Linked DNA regions of Arabidopsis thaliana. The protein of the gene in region 1 purifies or fractionates together with the protein of each later gene. This does not show direct contact. Each region holds a gene or a part of one and is shown in the gene's direction. Other genes may lie near its edges.

What was found.
Region 2: the proteins of PPR596 (region 1) and AL4 fractionate together in Arabidopsis thaliana (co-fractionation; one large-scale study listed by BioGRID). This does not show direct contact.

Annotation. Positions count from the first base shown.
Region 1 is NC_003070.9:30,177,869-30,185,632, forward strand, and holds PPR596 (PENTATRICOPEPTIDE REPEAT 596), read left to right. Parts: upstream 1-3,038; 5' UTR 3,039-3,209; intron 3,210-3,257; exon of another isoform or gene 3,258-3,363; 5' UTR 3,364-3,396; coding exon 3,397-3,425; intron 3,426-3,615; coding exon 3,616-4,129; intron 4,130-4,215; coding exon 4,216-5,463; 3' UTR 5,464-5,693; downstream 5,694-7,764. Other genes in the region: emb1427 (Spc97 / Spc98 family of spindle pole body (SBP) component), read left to right, coding at 1-279, 392-544, 630-729, 804-898, 1,066-1,251, 1,352-1,408, 1,488-1,559, 1,735-1,833 and 3 more; AT1G80280 (alpha/beta-Hydrolases superfamily protein), read right to left, coding at 5,971-6,081, 6,162-6,689, 6,795-7,526, 7,614-7,764.
Region 2 is NC_003076.8:9,156,290-9,162,227, reverse strand, and holds AL4 (alfin-like 4), read left to right. Parts: upstream 1-1,734; 5' UTR 1,735-2,006; coding exon 2,007-2,103; intron 2,104-2,195; coding exon 2,196-2,228; intron 2,229-2,791; coding exon 2,792-3,020; intron 3,021-3,171; coding exon 3,172-3,304; intron 3,305-3,386; coding exon 3,387-3,662; 3' UTR 3,663-3,910; downstream 3,911-5,938. Other genes in the region: AT5G26200 (Mitochondrial substrate carrier family protein), read right to left, coding at 3,932-4,960. UniProt on the Arabidopsis thaliana protein: Histone-binding component that specifically recognizes H3 tails trimethylated on 'Lys-4' (H3K4me3), which mark transcription start sites of virtually all active genes.

The DNA of each region.
Region 1 (7,764 bases):
GAAAACCTTGTTGTTTCAGTATCTAAAATGGATCTTGAGAGGAATAGAAATGCTTGGAATGTCTTGAACTTGTCGCAAAACTATTGTCTACCCTCTCTTAATGATGAGAGTCTGTTGAGTGCTGTTTTTGAAGAATCTGGCATGGCAGATGCTGGACTGAGTGGAACAAACTACAAATTTGGATTCCAATTTGGTAGATCTGAATATATTTCTTCTCAGGATGACACAAACCTTCTAGAAACATTATTTCCCTTTCCCACTTTGCTTCCGTCATTCCAGGTACTTTGATACTGATGATTTATGATTATTTTATGGCACTTTTCTTCGATTTTCTCTCATTTGCAATAGTTTCTGTTTGCTTATCTTGAAATCTTTGTGATCAACAAAAAAGCCGAAGCTCCATCTGTCAGAATTCTTACCTTTCCAAAAGAATAGTACACTTCCTTCAAGAGTTCTCAGCTGGTTGCTAAAGGCAGAGCCAATGGATACTCGACTTCCCGTTGTAATTATGCAGGAATGCTTCACAATTTACATAAGGAGGCAGGTAGGGTGATGTAATCTTCAACATTGCTGCTTGTGCCTATGGCATGCATACTCTTGTTACCTTCTGAAAGTTGTGTATGTTTTAGGTGGACTACATTGGCAAAGTGATTTTGTCAAAACTAATGAATGACTGGAAATTGATGCACGAACTTGCTGTATTGCGCGCCATTTACTTGCTAGGTTCAGGTGCGTTTTATGTGCTCAACTGTTTTGGCAATATGGTTGTATCTGAAATCTTAATAACCCCTTAAAACTTTCAGGGGACCTGCTGCAGCATTTTCTGACTGTCATTTTCGATAGGCTGGGCAAGGGAGAGTCATCAAATGATGATTTTGAGTTGAACATAATACTTCAGGTAACCAGGTTTGGTGTATTTTTAAGAGACACTGCTCTCATCTTTATAGTTGTTATCACTTCTAAAATGATTCCGCTTGTTAATTGTTTGCTTATGTATCCGTGTTCTGTTGCCGTATATGTGTTCATACACCAAACTTATTTCTAAAGTGTAATGGTCTTCTACAGGAATCAATTAGAAATTCAGCTGATGCCATGCTGTTAAGCAGTCCTGATTCATTGGTGGTATCTATTTCCAGAGAAGACAGAGACAAAGATGATAAGGGTGACATAATACCCCTTTCTTCAACTCGTAAAAGCCGCGTTAACAGCTTTGGAATAGATTGTCTCGAGTCTCTCAAATTCACATACAAGGTCTAGAGAAACAACTTAGTCTTCCATCCAATCCGTACTGGTATATCTCATAGGCCACATCTATGTGTATTTGAAGAGCTGAACTGTTTTCTTTTTTAAGGTGCCATGGCCACTTGAGCTTATTGCCAATAGTGAGGCCATTAAGAAGTATAACCAGGTAACCCTTTCTCATCCAGCTATTTTTGTGGTAAACAGTTTGTTGTTCCTCTATGTGGTAATTATTTAATTGAAAACAGGTGATGGGATTTTTGTTGAAGGTCAAGCGAGCAAAATATGTGCTTGATAAAGCACGAAGGTGGATGTGGAAGGTCTTTGATATCTCTCAAACTCATTTCTTTCTTCTTAGACTGTATCCCGTGACTTCCAAATCCAGTTTGAAAGAGCCTAATCAGTCTTTTGATCTATACATATAAATATAAAGGGAATCATAAGAATGTGGTTCAGTTTGATAAACTTGATGACTTTGGTGTTTGTGTATGATAGGGTAAAGGCTCTGCAACAAAAATCCGCAAGCACCACTGGTTACTAGAACAAAAGCTCCTCAACTTTGTGGATGCTTTTCATCAATACGTAATGGACAGGGTATTGTCCAATGCTAAATGATTGGTTATAATTACAGTATCATTTTTCGTTGGAGTAATATAAGTTTGTGCTAGAGTTGTGGCAAAATCGAAAGCTGATCACATGGCTTGAGTAAGATGAAAAGCTTGCCATGCTTAACTGTATTTTGTAAGCAGGTATATCACACTGCGTGGCGTGAACTGTGTGAAGCGATGGTAAAAGCAGGGTCTCTGGATGAGGTCATATATGTACATGAAACCTACTTGTTATCGATTCAGCGGCAATGCTTTGTGGTTCAAGAAAAGCTGGTAATGGACCATGAAGGCATTAAGCGACCTCTTAAAATGCATAGTATATATTTGAAGTTGTAGGCTTCTAAAAACCTAGTGTTTGGTGGTTTTTGTATAGTGGGCAATCATCGCAAGTCGGATCAACATGATTCTCGGTTTAGCTCTAGAATTCTACTCAATACAACAGACACTGAGCAGCGGTGGAGCAGTTTCAGCCATCAAGGCTAGATGCGAAATGGAAATAGACCGTATAGAGAAACAATTTGAGGACTGTATTGCTTTCCTTCTCAGAGTAAGTAAATCGAAAACTGTGTACTTGTTGTATTGTGAAGCTATATATAATTGATTAATGCTTAATGGGGGATGGAACTTGCAGGTATTATCTTCGAAGCTGAATGTGGGACACTTCCCTCATTTGGCTGATTTGGTGACCAGAATCAATTACAATTATCACTACATGTCAGATACTGGAAGCTTGATGACTACTTCTGGAGCAGAGACCAACTCATCCAGACCTTGGACTGCCAAATCTGATGTATGAATGGACCGGGAAATTATCGCAATGTTGGATTGTCGCAACACTATCACACGTAATTGTTCAAGCCTCATGCTTTTCTTGTGTCTGGTATCTAATTTCCTGATTATGTATTTTCTGTTTATAAAAGTTCACTGTTTTGAATTAGACATTGTACAAAACTGCTATCAAGGTTTAAAAAAAAAAAAACATTGTTAACATTCTTAACAAGAAATCATCAAAGTTTAAAATCTAATCGTGACCCTACTATGCATAGTACATATATTAAGCATTAACCAATACGACAAAAGAAAAAAAAAAGCATTAACCAAAAACAAAAAGACGATAATTAAGGTTATAGGTTATGAGTTTATTACGAAAAGCCCATTTATGGATGCAATTAAGCAAACCTTGTTGGAGGACAAAATGGTCAAAAGAAAGAAAACGTAAAACCCTAAAACATTTCTTTAACACTCGACTTGTCTCATAAACCCTTTGTGTTTGTAGTCTCTCTACTCTCTAGATCCCATCCCATTTCTTGATCAGCCTCGCGCATTGTGTGCTTACACGTAATCCTCTAGCTTCTTTCCTCGGTATTCCTTGTCTAATTCGAACTTCTCTCTTTTTTTTTCTGGGTCCGATCGTTTCAGTGAAAGGCGTAACCTTTCCTTCGAATCTGATAGCATTGCAAAATGATAATGTTAGTCTGATTTTTGTTGGGTGTGTGTCTTTTGATTGAAAGAGCAGGTAATTTCCAGAGAGATTTTCAACAGAGGAAGCATGTTCGCTCTTTCCAAGGTTTTACGAAGGTAAGGATCTCTGATTTTGTTCGAAAAACTGTTAGGGATGTAGCTATGTATGTGTCTTCAATGGCAGTGAAACAGATTTCGAGTAAAATTTGAAATTTTGAGCATGGTTTTGATTTGCCATTAACATATCTGTGTTGAGTTGGTATTAGCACACTTTTCCAACTTTTGTTTTTGTGTGTGAATTTTACAGAACGCAGAGACTCCGACTGGGAGCTTGTTCTGCTGTGTTTTCAAAAGATATACAATTAGGAGGAGAAAGGAGCTTTGATTCCAATTCGATTGCTTCTACTAAACGTGAAGCTGTGCCAAGATTTTACGAGATCTCCTCTTTGAGTAATCGTGCTCTTTCCTCCAGTGCTGGCACTAAAAGTGATCAAGAGGAAGACGACCTCGAAGACGGTTTCTCAGAACTGGAAGGTTCAAAGTCTGGCCAAGGTTCAACTAGTAGTGATGAAGATGAGGGAAAGCTCTCCGCTGATGAAGAAGAAGAAGAAGAACTAGACCTCATTGAAACCGACGTTAGTAGAAAAACAGTTGAAAAGAAACAATCTGAGCTATTTAAGACCATTGTCTCCGCACCCGGTCTGTCTATAGGTAGTGCTCTTGATAAATGGGTGGAAGAAGGAAATGAGATCACTCGAGTTGAGATTGCTAAGGCAATGCTCCAGCTGCGCAGGCGTCGCATGTATGGAAGAGCGTTACAGGTAGTTCTCTTCTTACTCGTGATTTAACTTTCTGTATCTGAACTGGTTCAAGTGCTTACCTTGGTTTCTTTTTTCTGTTTGTGTAGATGTCAGAATGGTTGGAAGCAAATAAGAAAATTGAAATGACTGAGAGAGATTATGCTTCTCGGTTAGATCTGACAGTTAAGATTCGTGGTTTAGAAAAGGGAGAAGCTTGTATGCAGAAGATCCCAAAATCTTTTAAAGGGGAAGTGCTTTACCGTACCCTCTTGGCGAATTGTGTTGCTGCTGGCAATGTGAAGAAATCCGAACTGGTGTTTAACAAAATGAAGGACTTGGGATTCCCTCTCTCTGGATTTACTTGTGATCAGATGCTTCTGCTCCACAAGAGGATCGACAGGAAGAAAATTGCTGATGTACTATTGCTCATGGAGAAAGAAAATATCAAGCCAAGTCTTCTCACTTACAAAATCCTGATTGATGTCAAAGGTGCAACAAATGACATAAGTGGTATGGAGCAAATTCTGGAGACAATGAAAGATGAAGGTGTTGAACTGGACTTCCAGACGCAAGCTCTCACTGCTAGACACTATTCGGGAGCTGGCCTTAAAGATAAAGCCGAGAAAGTCTTGAAAGAGATGGAAGGTGAAAGCTTAGAGGCAAATCGCCGGGCATTCAAAGATTTGCTCTCCATCTATGCCTCTCTTGGGAGAGAAGATGAAGTGAAAAGAATATGGAAGATCTGTGAATCAAAGCCCTACTTTGAGGAATCCCTTGCTGCAATCCAAGCTTTTGGAAAGCTCAATAAAGTGCAAGAAGCAGAGGCGATTTTTGAGAAGATTGTGAAGATGGACAGAAGAGCTTCTTCTAGTACTTACTCCGTTCTCTTGAGGGTTTACGTAGATCACAAGATGCTCTCAAAGGGTAAGGATCTGGTTAAACGAATGGCTGAGAGCGGTTGCAGGATCGAGGCAACGACATGGGATGCACTCATCAAGCTCTATGTGGAAGCTGGAGAAGTTGAAAAGGCTGATTCTTTGCTGGACAAGGCATCAAAACAGAGCCATACAAAACTGATGATGAACTCCTTCATGTATATCATGGACGAGTACTCAAAACGGGGAGATGTTCATAACACAGAGAAGATATTCCTAAAAATGAGGGAAGCTGGGTATACATCTCGGCTTAGGCAGTTCCAAGCCCTCATGCAGGCTTACATAAACGCCAAATCTCCTGCATATGGAATGCGAGATAGATTGAAGGCGGATAATATCTTTCCAAACAAATCCATGGCTGCACAGTTGGCTCAAGGTGATCCATTTAAGAAGACAGCTATCTCTGATATTCTGGATTGAGTAGTCTCTCTCCCTACACTTTTCTTCTATCTGCTTGCAAGAAGTATCTCATTTGTCGTCCTAACGTTTAGTTTGAGAGAGTAACGTTAAGTTTAAGAACCTGCTTAGTTGCTGTGTTTTTAATGTTTCTATTCGGTTCTTTGGTGATCACACTTCAGAGACCTTCAAGTTTCATGACATTTAGGAGTACACGAAGAAAATAACGTTTTCAAACTGCGCGTATTCTACCGCAAAATTTTACAAAGATTTAGCCACTCTTCTCTTAAGTGGAAAATAAACAGAATTATTCCAAACCATTAAAAACTCTGATGAGAAAAACAGAGAATGTTACAATAACTCTGCTTATAATGAATACAGACTTACTAAGACCTCAATCACCCCAACTTCTTTCCTTTTGGGGCAGACAAAAAAAACTCGCAAACACTAATCGATTGTGAGCTAAGAAGACAACTAGAAGTGATCACTCAGTCACTCACTCCTCACTAAGTACAGTGATCACTCAGTCACTCAGTCCTCACTAAATACAAGTCTGCTTATGAATGGGCACATGGCTGCAAGAAGTGCCTTGGGACACTCCTCATGTGGCAGATGTCCGCATCCTGAGATTGCTACTAGCCTCTGTTTGTTGACATGTATAATGTTAGTTACGTATCAACAGAGTTTAGGTGTTTAATTAGATATAGAGAGGGAGGACTTACAGAGTTTTCGAGTTTTGAAGCCATGACTTGGGAGGACTTGAGGGGAACAAGTGCGTCTTCGGCTCCAGCAACGACTAATACTGGTAAGTTTTCCACTGCCTTGAGAAGTGACAATGCATTTTGAGTTGGAAGCACCATCTCGGATGAGAGTCTGCCTATCTCGTGAAGTGCCTCATCCCAGCCTTCCACATGAAGTGGTGCCTTGTATAGCCTTAAGACATCGGTTGTCATCTTGGCAGGATCATACCAAGCTCTGCGATTCACCACCTGAGCTATTTCAGTGCGTAAAAGCGGACGAACAAGGTGTTTCTTTCCTAGTGATGTGTGCAGAAGTATTCTTGCAAAAGCTGGCACTACTTCCCTCGTCAAGCTTACATTAAGCAAAACCACTCCTTTGACTTTGATGGGATCTTTTGTTTCTAGCAATCTTTGTGCAGCCTTGAGAGCAAGCAAACCTCCATCATCATGGCCAACCAAGACTACAGAAGCAAATCCCATTTCGTGGCAAAAGGCAAGAAGCATGTCTACCTGAAAGCATCAACAGATCCTTGAGTTTTAACATTTCTTTCTAAGAGCAAAGACAAAAAGCTCTCATAAGTAATAAACATAGTCCGGAATTGAACAGAACTTCACCTGATTATCCAGAGTGTAAGGGTTTGGCATCTCTCTTTCTTCCAAATCCTTTTTATGAGGTCTGGCGGTTAATCCCCAACCAGGCCTATCAAATGCAGTGACAACACAGCCAAGTTGATGGGCAAGAGAACTCATCACATGTCTCCAAGAAAACACTCCTCCGCCAAATCCATGGACCAACACTACACCAAATTGGCCGTTTCCACCAACATCTTGCTGTTCCGTGGCACCAAAATTGGACACATTGATGCCATCCTCTCGGCACGATTCTTCCTGAATATCTTTGAAAAGACGAGGAGAAGTAGGAAGACCATCAAGGAGAGGGTCGTGCAAGGAAGAAGAATTGTTAAACAGACTGCTGTAGCTCCTATGGTGGTGATGGTTGAGCTTGTTTCTCGTGACCATGCTCAATATATTCCTGTCAAGCTTCAACCTTCCCACCATCGCCTCTGGCATATTAAGCATAGAGTTGGCTTCAACTGAGGAGGAGATAGAGTGGCGAGGAGAAGCAGGTGTGCAAATCTTGTAATGCACAGTGAGCCCTCTGACTGTAATGAATAAGCTGTCAAGATCAGCAAGCAATCTCGCAGGTAGCTCTCCGTCATCGTTGGATACTGAAGGATGCAGCTTTCGTCTTGCCTCGCCATCAACCTTGGAGGCCTTTCCTACCAAAGGAATTGGAGAACGTGGGACTTTCTGGTAACCAGAGAAGACACTTTTGCAAGAAAGAACCTGCAACACAATCAATAAGTTAAACAAAGATCAAAGCTTTGGAGCAAAAAGAGAAGAAGAAGAGCATGATGATAATAATAAACTCACAGCTTCAGGGTCAACTCTGTGATACAAGAGTTTCCTCCTAGCTCTGCAACTTGTTCTATAAGCAACAACCATATGACCAAGAGCAAAAACAACAGATGAAAGGAACAAAACTGGCATCCCCCAAGACTTTTTCAGATGGAGTCTTTGCCTT
Region 2 (5,938 bases), on another chromosome or scaffold:
TATGCAATCCCAAATTTTAATGTTTTTTCTTTAAGATTAGTGAAAGTTTCACATATGTATCTTTCTCGTCCAATTGAATATGTTATTTTCCAAATATAAAGTTTGATAAGCGAGAATTATATCAAGACGATAATAGAAGTTACCTTAATTCAAATTGTGGAAAAATCATATACATATGAGTAATTGGAAAAGTGGAAGATGAGCCGATTTATATAAATTTTGAATTTTGTTAATTGTGAATGTAATAATAACTAGCGAAAACATTAAGAATTTTTATGCAACCGTCAATGATTTCATGGGATCTTTATCAAAAGATCAAATTGAGAAATATTCAATGACATCTGATGCATATCACAATCTTTGAATGCAATATAGTTCAATGCGCTTATCGTCTTGCTTGCATTATTACAGAACTTATTGATGGTATTGGGATTTTGTATCCAGTTTGGGCAAATAAAGCCATCAGATCACTATCTTGCGTGTCTGTGTGACATGTAATGAGTTTAGCTTGGAGACTTCAAGCCCATTTTCTAGAGTCAAATTTAACGTTGCATTTGATTTAGAAAAAAAATCAAAAGAATTCTTGAAGATCTTGAAGTGTACCTCATACAAAGATTAAGGATTCTAGAGGAGGTGTTTGACATTTGAATCTATCAACATTACTACTCTCTCCGTGTCTCTTCAATTCAATTTAGAAAACAAAAATATATTCATTGCTTTAAGTACTTTGTTCAGTAAAACATAGTTCTTATTCTCTTTTATCAGTCTCACTCTCACCAAATTACCTACAAGTTAAGATTTTCTATCCACATAAAATATCAAAATTGAGGACTGAATCATGATTTTATAGATAACACTACTTCAAAATCTTACTATATTGGAATTAGATATGATTCATAAATTCATGAAATCCATGAAACTACAATTTTATTCCTAGTGTATAGTTCGATCTATCAAATTGTATATGGGTTATCGATATATTTGGATGATTGACACGAAAGAACCAAGTATTTTGAATAAACTTTTTTCCAAAATATTAATAATGCATAGTACTTATTAAAAAATCAAAAAGACCTTGAAAAAGAGAAGAGATTGAACTTATTTATCAAACACCAGATCACCAAAAATTTGGTGCGAAAAAGGTATCTAGTAACTAGTAAGACTATTTAAAAGCTCTCATTAATCAAAACCAGACTATTATTACTCTTTTAAAAAAAAGACTAGACCTCGAGTGAAGAAATAAAATTAACAGTCAAACTTATTTCTCAGATACCAGAATACCAAAAATTGGCGCGAAAGACAAAACGAAACCAAAAAATGTAGAACAAAGTCAAACTTATTTCTTAAATATCAGATTACCGAAATTTAAAGCGAAAAACTGAATATTTGATAAACACTTACCGAAACCTCTCACTAATCTAAAATAAAGTATGTATCCCTTACCATGTTCAAAAAGAGCGCGAATGAAAATATAGAAAACGGTCAAATTTATTTCTGAGTTACCAGATTACCGAACATTTACCGCGAAAAACAGAAAAACGGTCAAATTTATTTCGCAGATACCAGATTACCGAACATTTGTTTCGAAAAAACAGAGTATCTAATAAAACTTTCTGCAATCTTACAACCATTACAATTTAATGTATCATTAACACAAAACTCTTAATTTCAAGCTTGATAAACATCTATTACCCGAAAAATAAGCCAATCCAATTAAAAACATATCCATAGATACAACAACAGAAATCAGGAGATACGCGTCAAGATCTAAGAGGATGAAAGATAAAACTTATCGTGCTCTCCTCCTCATCAGATTCATTTTGCGGACTCCTCCTCATCTTATTAAATCCGCTTAATTGTTTTTGGGTCCGCCCTTTTTCTCTTTCACATCTTTCTTTCTCTCGCAAACCCAAATTCTCTCAGCGCCGGTCAAATACTTGTCTCTCTCTCTCTCTCTCTTTCACTCTTGTCTTGTCTCCTTCGAAGCTGTTTGTTCTGTAAGAAAGATGGAAGCAGGTGGCGCGTACAATCCACGCACTGTTGAAGAGGTGTTTAGGGATTTTAAGGGTCGTAGAGCTGGCATGATTAAGGCTTTAACCACTGGTAACAATTTGTTTTTTCTTTCTTCTTATTACTATCTCAGTTTTGTCACCGGAAAAAAACTGAATTTTGAGATTACCCTTTTGTGTGTGCAGATGTTCAGGAGTTTTTCCGACTTTGTGATCCCGGTGAGTGTTGTTGTTCCTTTGAGATTTGATTTGAATTAACGAAAGTTTTGATTTTTATTTGTGTTTTTTGAATTTTTCTATGTTTTGCTCTGTTTTAATCTGAGTGTTGTTGTTTCAGTGAAGCATTTAGGGTTCATAGTCTCTCTCTCTCTCTCTTTTCTGTTTATGATTTTGTTTAGATTTATTTGAATTGCGCTCCAGTGTCGAAAGTATTGATTTTTGTTTGACTTGGTTCGATTGTGTTTTCAACTAAAGAAAAAATTTGTTTGTGATCCTTGTGAGTGTTGTTGTTCCTTCGAGATTGATTCTCGCCGGCGAAAGTTTGGTTTTTTGAATTTGCTTCGTTGTGGTTTGTTTCAATCTGATTGTTGTTGTTTCAGTGAAGCATTTAGGGTTCATAGATTCTATTGTCTCTGTTTTGTGGATAAAATTGTGATTTTGTCAGATTTATTTGAATTGCAGTGTAGAGTTTGAGCGGAGTCAAAGTGTTGATTTTTTGTTTGACTTGGTTTTAATTTAAGGTTTTTTGAACAATTGTCATCATTTTCCTTTTGTGATTATAGAAAAGGAGAACCTTTGCCTTTACGGACATCCAAATGAGCACTGGGAAGTGAATTTGCCAGCTGAAGAGGTTCCTCCTGAGCTCCCAGAGCCTGTCTTGGGTATCAATTTTGCCAGAGACGGGATGGCGGAAAAGGATTGGTTGTCCCTTGTTGCTGTCCACAGTGATGCTTGGCTTCTTGCTGTTGCTTTCTTTTTTGGAGCCAGGTTTGGATTTGACAAAGCTGATAGGTATGTATATCCTTCTCCTCTTTAAGTCTAATCTTCTTACATCTATGTTCCTTGGTGGTATATAGATGCAAGCCTCTCAGTCACTCATTGTTCTACTCCTTCACCGTTTATGTAGCTCTCTGTGATTTATGTTCTTTCACATTTGTTACAGGAAGAGGCTTTTCAATATGGTGAATGACCTCCCAACAATCTTTGAGGTTGTAGCTGGCACTGCTAAGAAACAAGGAAAAGATAAGTCCTCTGTTTCCAACAACAGCAGCAACAGATCCAAATCAAGCTCCAAGGTAGAGACTTTGTTTTCCACTGTACTTCTTCTCTACAGTTTAATCCTTGTACTAATTCTGGTTTCTTTGTCTCACGTTACAGCGAGGATCTGAATCCCGTGCCAAGTTCTCAAAGCCGGAGCCGAAAGATGATGAGGAGGAGGAAGAGGAAGGTGTGGAAGAGGAGGATGAGGATGAGCAAGGTGAAACACAGTGTGGAGCATGTGGTGAGAGCTATGCAGCTGATGAGTTCTGGATTTGCTGTGACCTCTGTGAGATGTGGTTTCATGGAAAGTGTGTTAAGATAACACCAGCAAGAGCTGAGCACATCAAGCAATACAAGTGCCCTTCTTGCAGCAACAAAAGGGCTCGTTCCTAAATTTGTTGACCGCTCGCTTCTGTGTATCTACCTTTGCATATGATGATGAACAGCTTAACTGTTTGGTTTAGATCAGATTTGTCATATGGATTTGGTAATTTAGGAAGACATTTTAGTTTTTTCATTGTTACATTTTGGCGATTGAAGGGATAACTCTTTGTTTAGGGGTAATGATCTTTTGCTCTGTTTTATGTTTGTTTATTAACATTCTTCAAACTCAATCAAAAGTATTTTGGTTAGTCTTAACACAACAAGGTTTTATCAATATATCATTTCTGCTTCTTTGTTGCTAGGCGCTTCAAGAACTCGTAGGTTGTGATCATCGTTGTTGCGGACATCGACATTGAGACCCATCTTGGTCCTAATCCTCTGTAACAAGCACCAACTCCTCCTTCCTTCATCAAGCTCTTCACTGACTGCATCACTGTCATTGCTCGTCTCCTCCCGTTCTCTTCTGCGTCTAAGACTTGCAACCGCGTCTTGATTGTGTCTACTGGCATAGTTACTAAAGCCGAGCAACCGCTTGCTGTAGCTGCACTCAACGCTTGAACCACCACTGAGCCACCAGCATCTTCCTTGTGGTTGTAGGAGTGCTTGTATCGAGACCAAATTGATTTTTGAGCCAAAGAATAAGACGCCCACCAAACCGCGTTGGAAGGTGCGTAAGTCAAGATCGAGATCCCAAATCCTCTGTAGAACCCTCTTGGTCCATCTGTGTAAAGAATCTTTCTAAAAGCATCAAACCCATTTCTGTATCTGCAAGAGTTCATCACTCCAGGAAGATGCTTACTCAAGGAGACATCGCCTTGAACCATAAGCCCTTGACTCACAATATCAATCGGAGTCCAGACAGTCTGGGCAGCCACAGCCGAGGTCAAACCAGCTGCACCATTAGCAACAGCCAAAGACGTAGTATCAGACAATCCTAACCTAACAGTTGCTTGACCTACACTACTCTTTGTAATCTCTAGAGCAGTCATATAGAGAGCACGAGCCGGGATGGTTCCAAGCAAAGATGTTCCAAAACCCTTGTAAAACCCTTTAAGACCTTCAAGTCTAGCAATAGCCAGAGAAATGTTGGCACATGAGACACGAGTCGGAGAGACTTGTTGCCTTGTTTTGAGAACTACAATAGGGTAAAGAGCAGTGGATACACCGGAGAAAAGAGCAGCACCGAGGAAGAAAAACCTCGATTTATCAAGCATTTGCCAATCTATATCATTTGACATATGTACCTGAGAAGAAGAAGATGAAGTTGTTGCTCTTCTCTTCTCTTCCATCAAAGCACCTAAACTCATTTTGAGCTAATCTTACCTTAAAAACCAAATCAAGATTCCAACTTTAGAGAGTTTTGACCTGAGTAAGAGATGAGAATAGAGTGTATGATTGAATTGTGATCAAAGAGAGAAAATCTCTGTGGATTTATTAGCTTCAAAATCTATGAACTCGTGTATTAATATTATTATAGTGAATATAGAGTCAGAGCCAAAACGATGGGTCGTGTGGATAACATAAAAGGAGCGGCCTTTAACGGACTCAAGAGGTGTGTGAGGAGGAGTAATGGGACTGGGCACGTGGCAAGTGTTGGTTGGTTTATGTTAGAGAAACTCACAGTTTTTAAGGTTACATGAGGCTGAGAAGAGAGTGGCTTCTGTCGGAATCGCCACTTGTTTCATCCTTCTGTGGATTATATTTATTATTTTATTTTATTTTTACTGATTTCTGTAGGTTTTGCATTTGATTATTTTGTGATATAATGTATTTATCAATAACTGTTTTAGTTACATTTTAAATAAAATTAGATGCATATGTATAATAGTATGGATAACAGAGCCTATTTATAGAATTTCTTACATTTTATGGAAATAAATAACTTTTTTAAAAGGTCCAAGAAATAGTCTAGATTGCAAATGCAAGTTTTCGATTGTAAATGAAAGTTTATTGATTTTAGATGATAAGTAAAGTGTTAAGTGTATAGTGTTTTGACAAACAGAATAATACTAAATCTTGTGATCTATGTGCTCTCTATACTAGTAGTCTAGTACTTAATATAATTGTCTTTATGTTTATTTTTGTCAATCTTCTCGGTTCTTATGATCAAATGCTTGTTTATCATTGTTAAATCGTTTGATTGCATGTAATTTCGTTTGATTTTTCTTAGGATAAAGTAGAAAAATCATTTCAAACTGATTTCCATAATCTCACAATTTACGAGAGTCAGCCGTTGATTCCTCATATGTCTCGTCAATTTTAACTGAAAAGCCTCGAATTCAAGG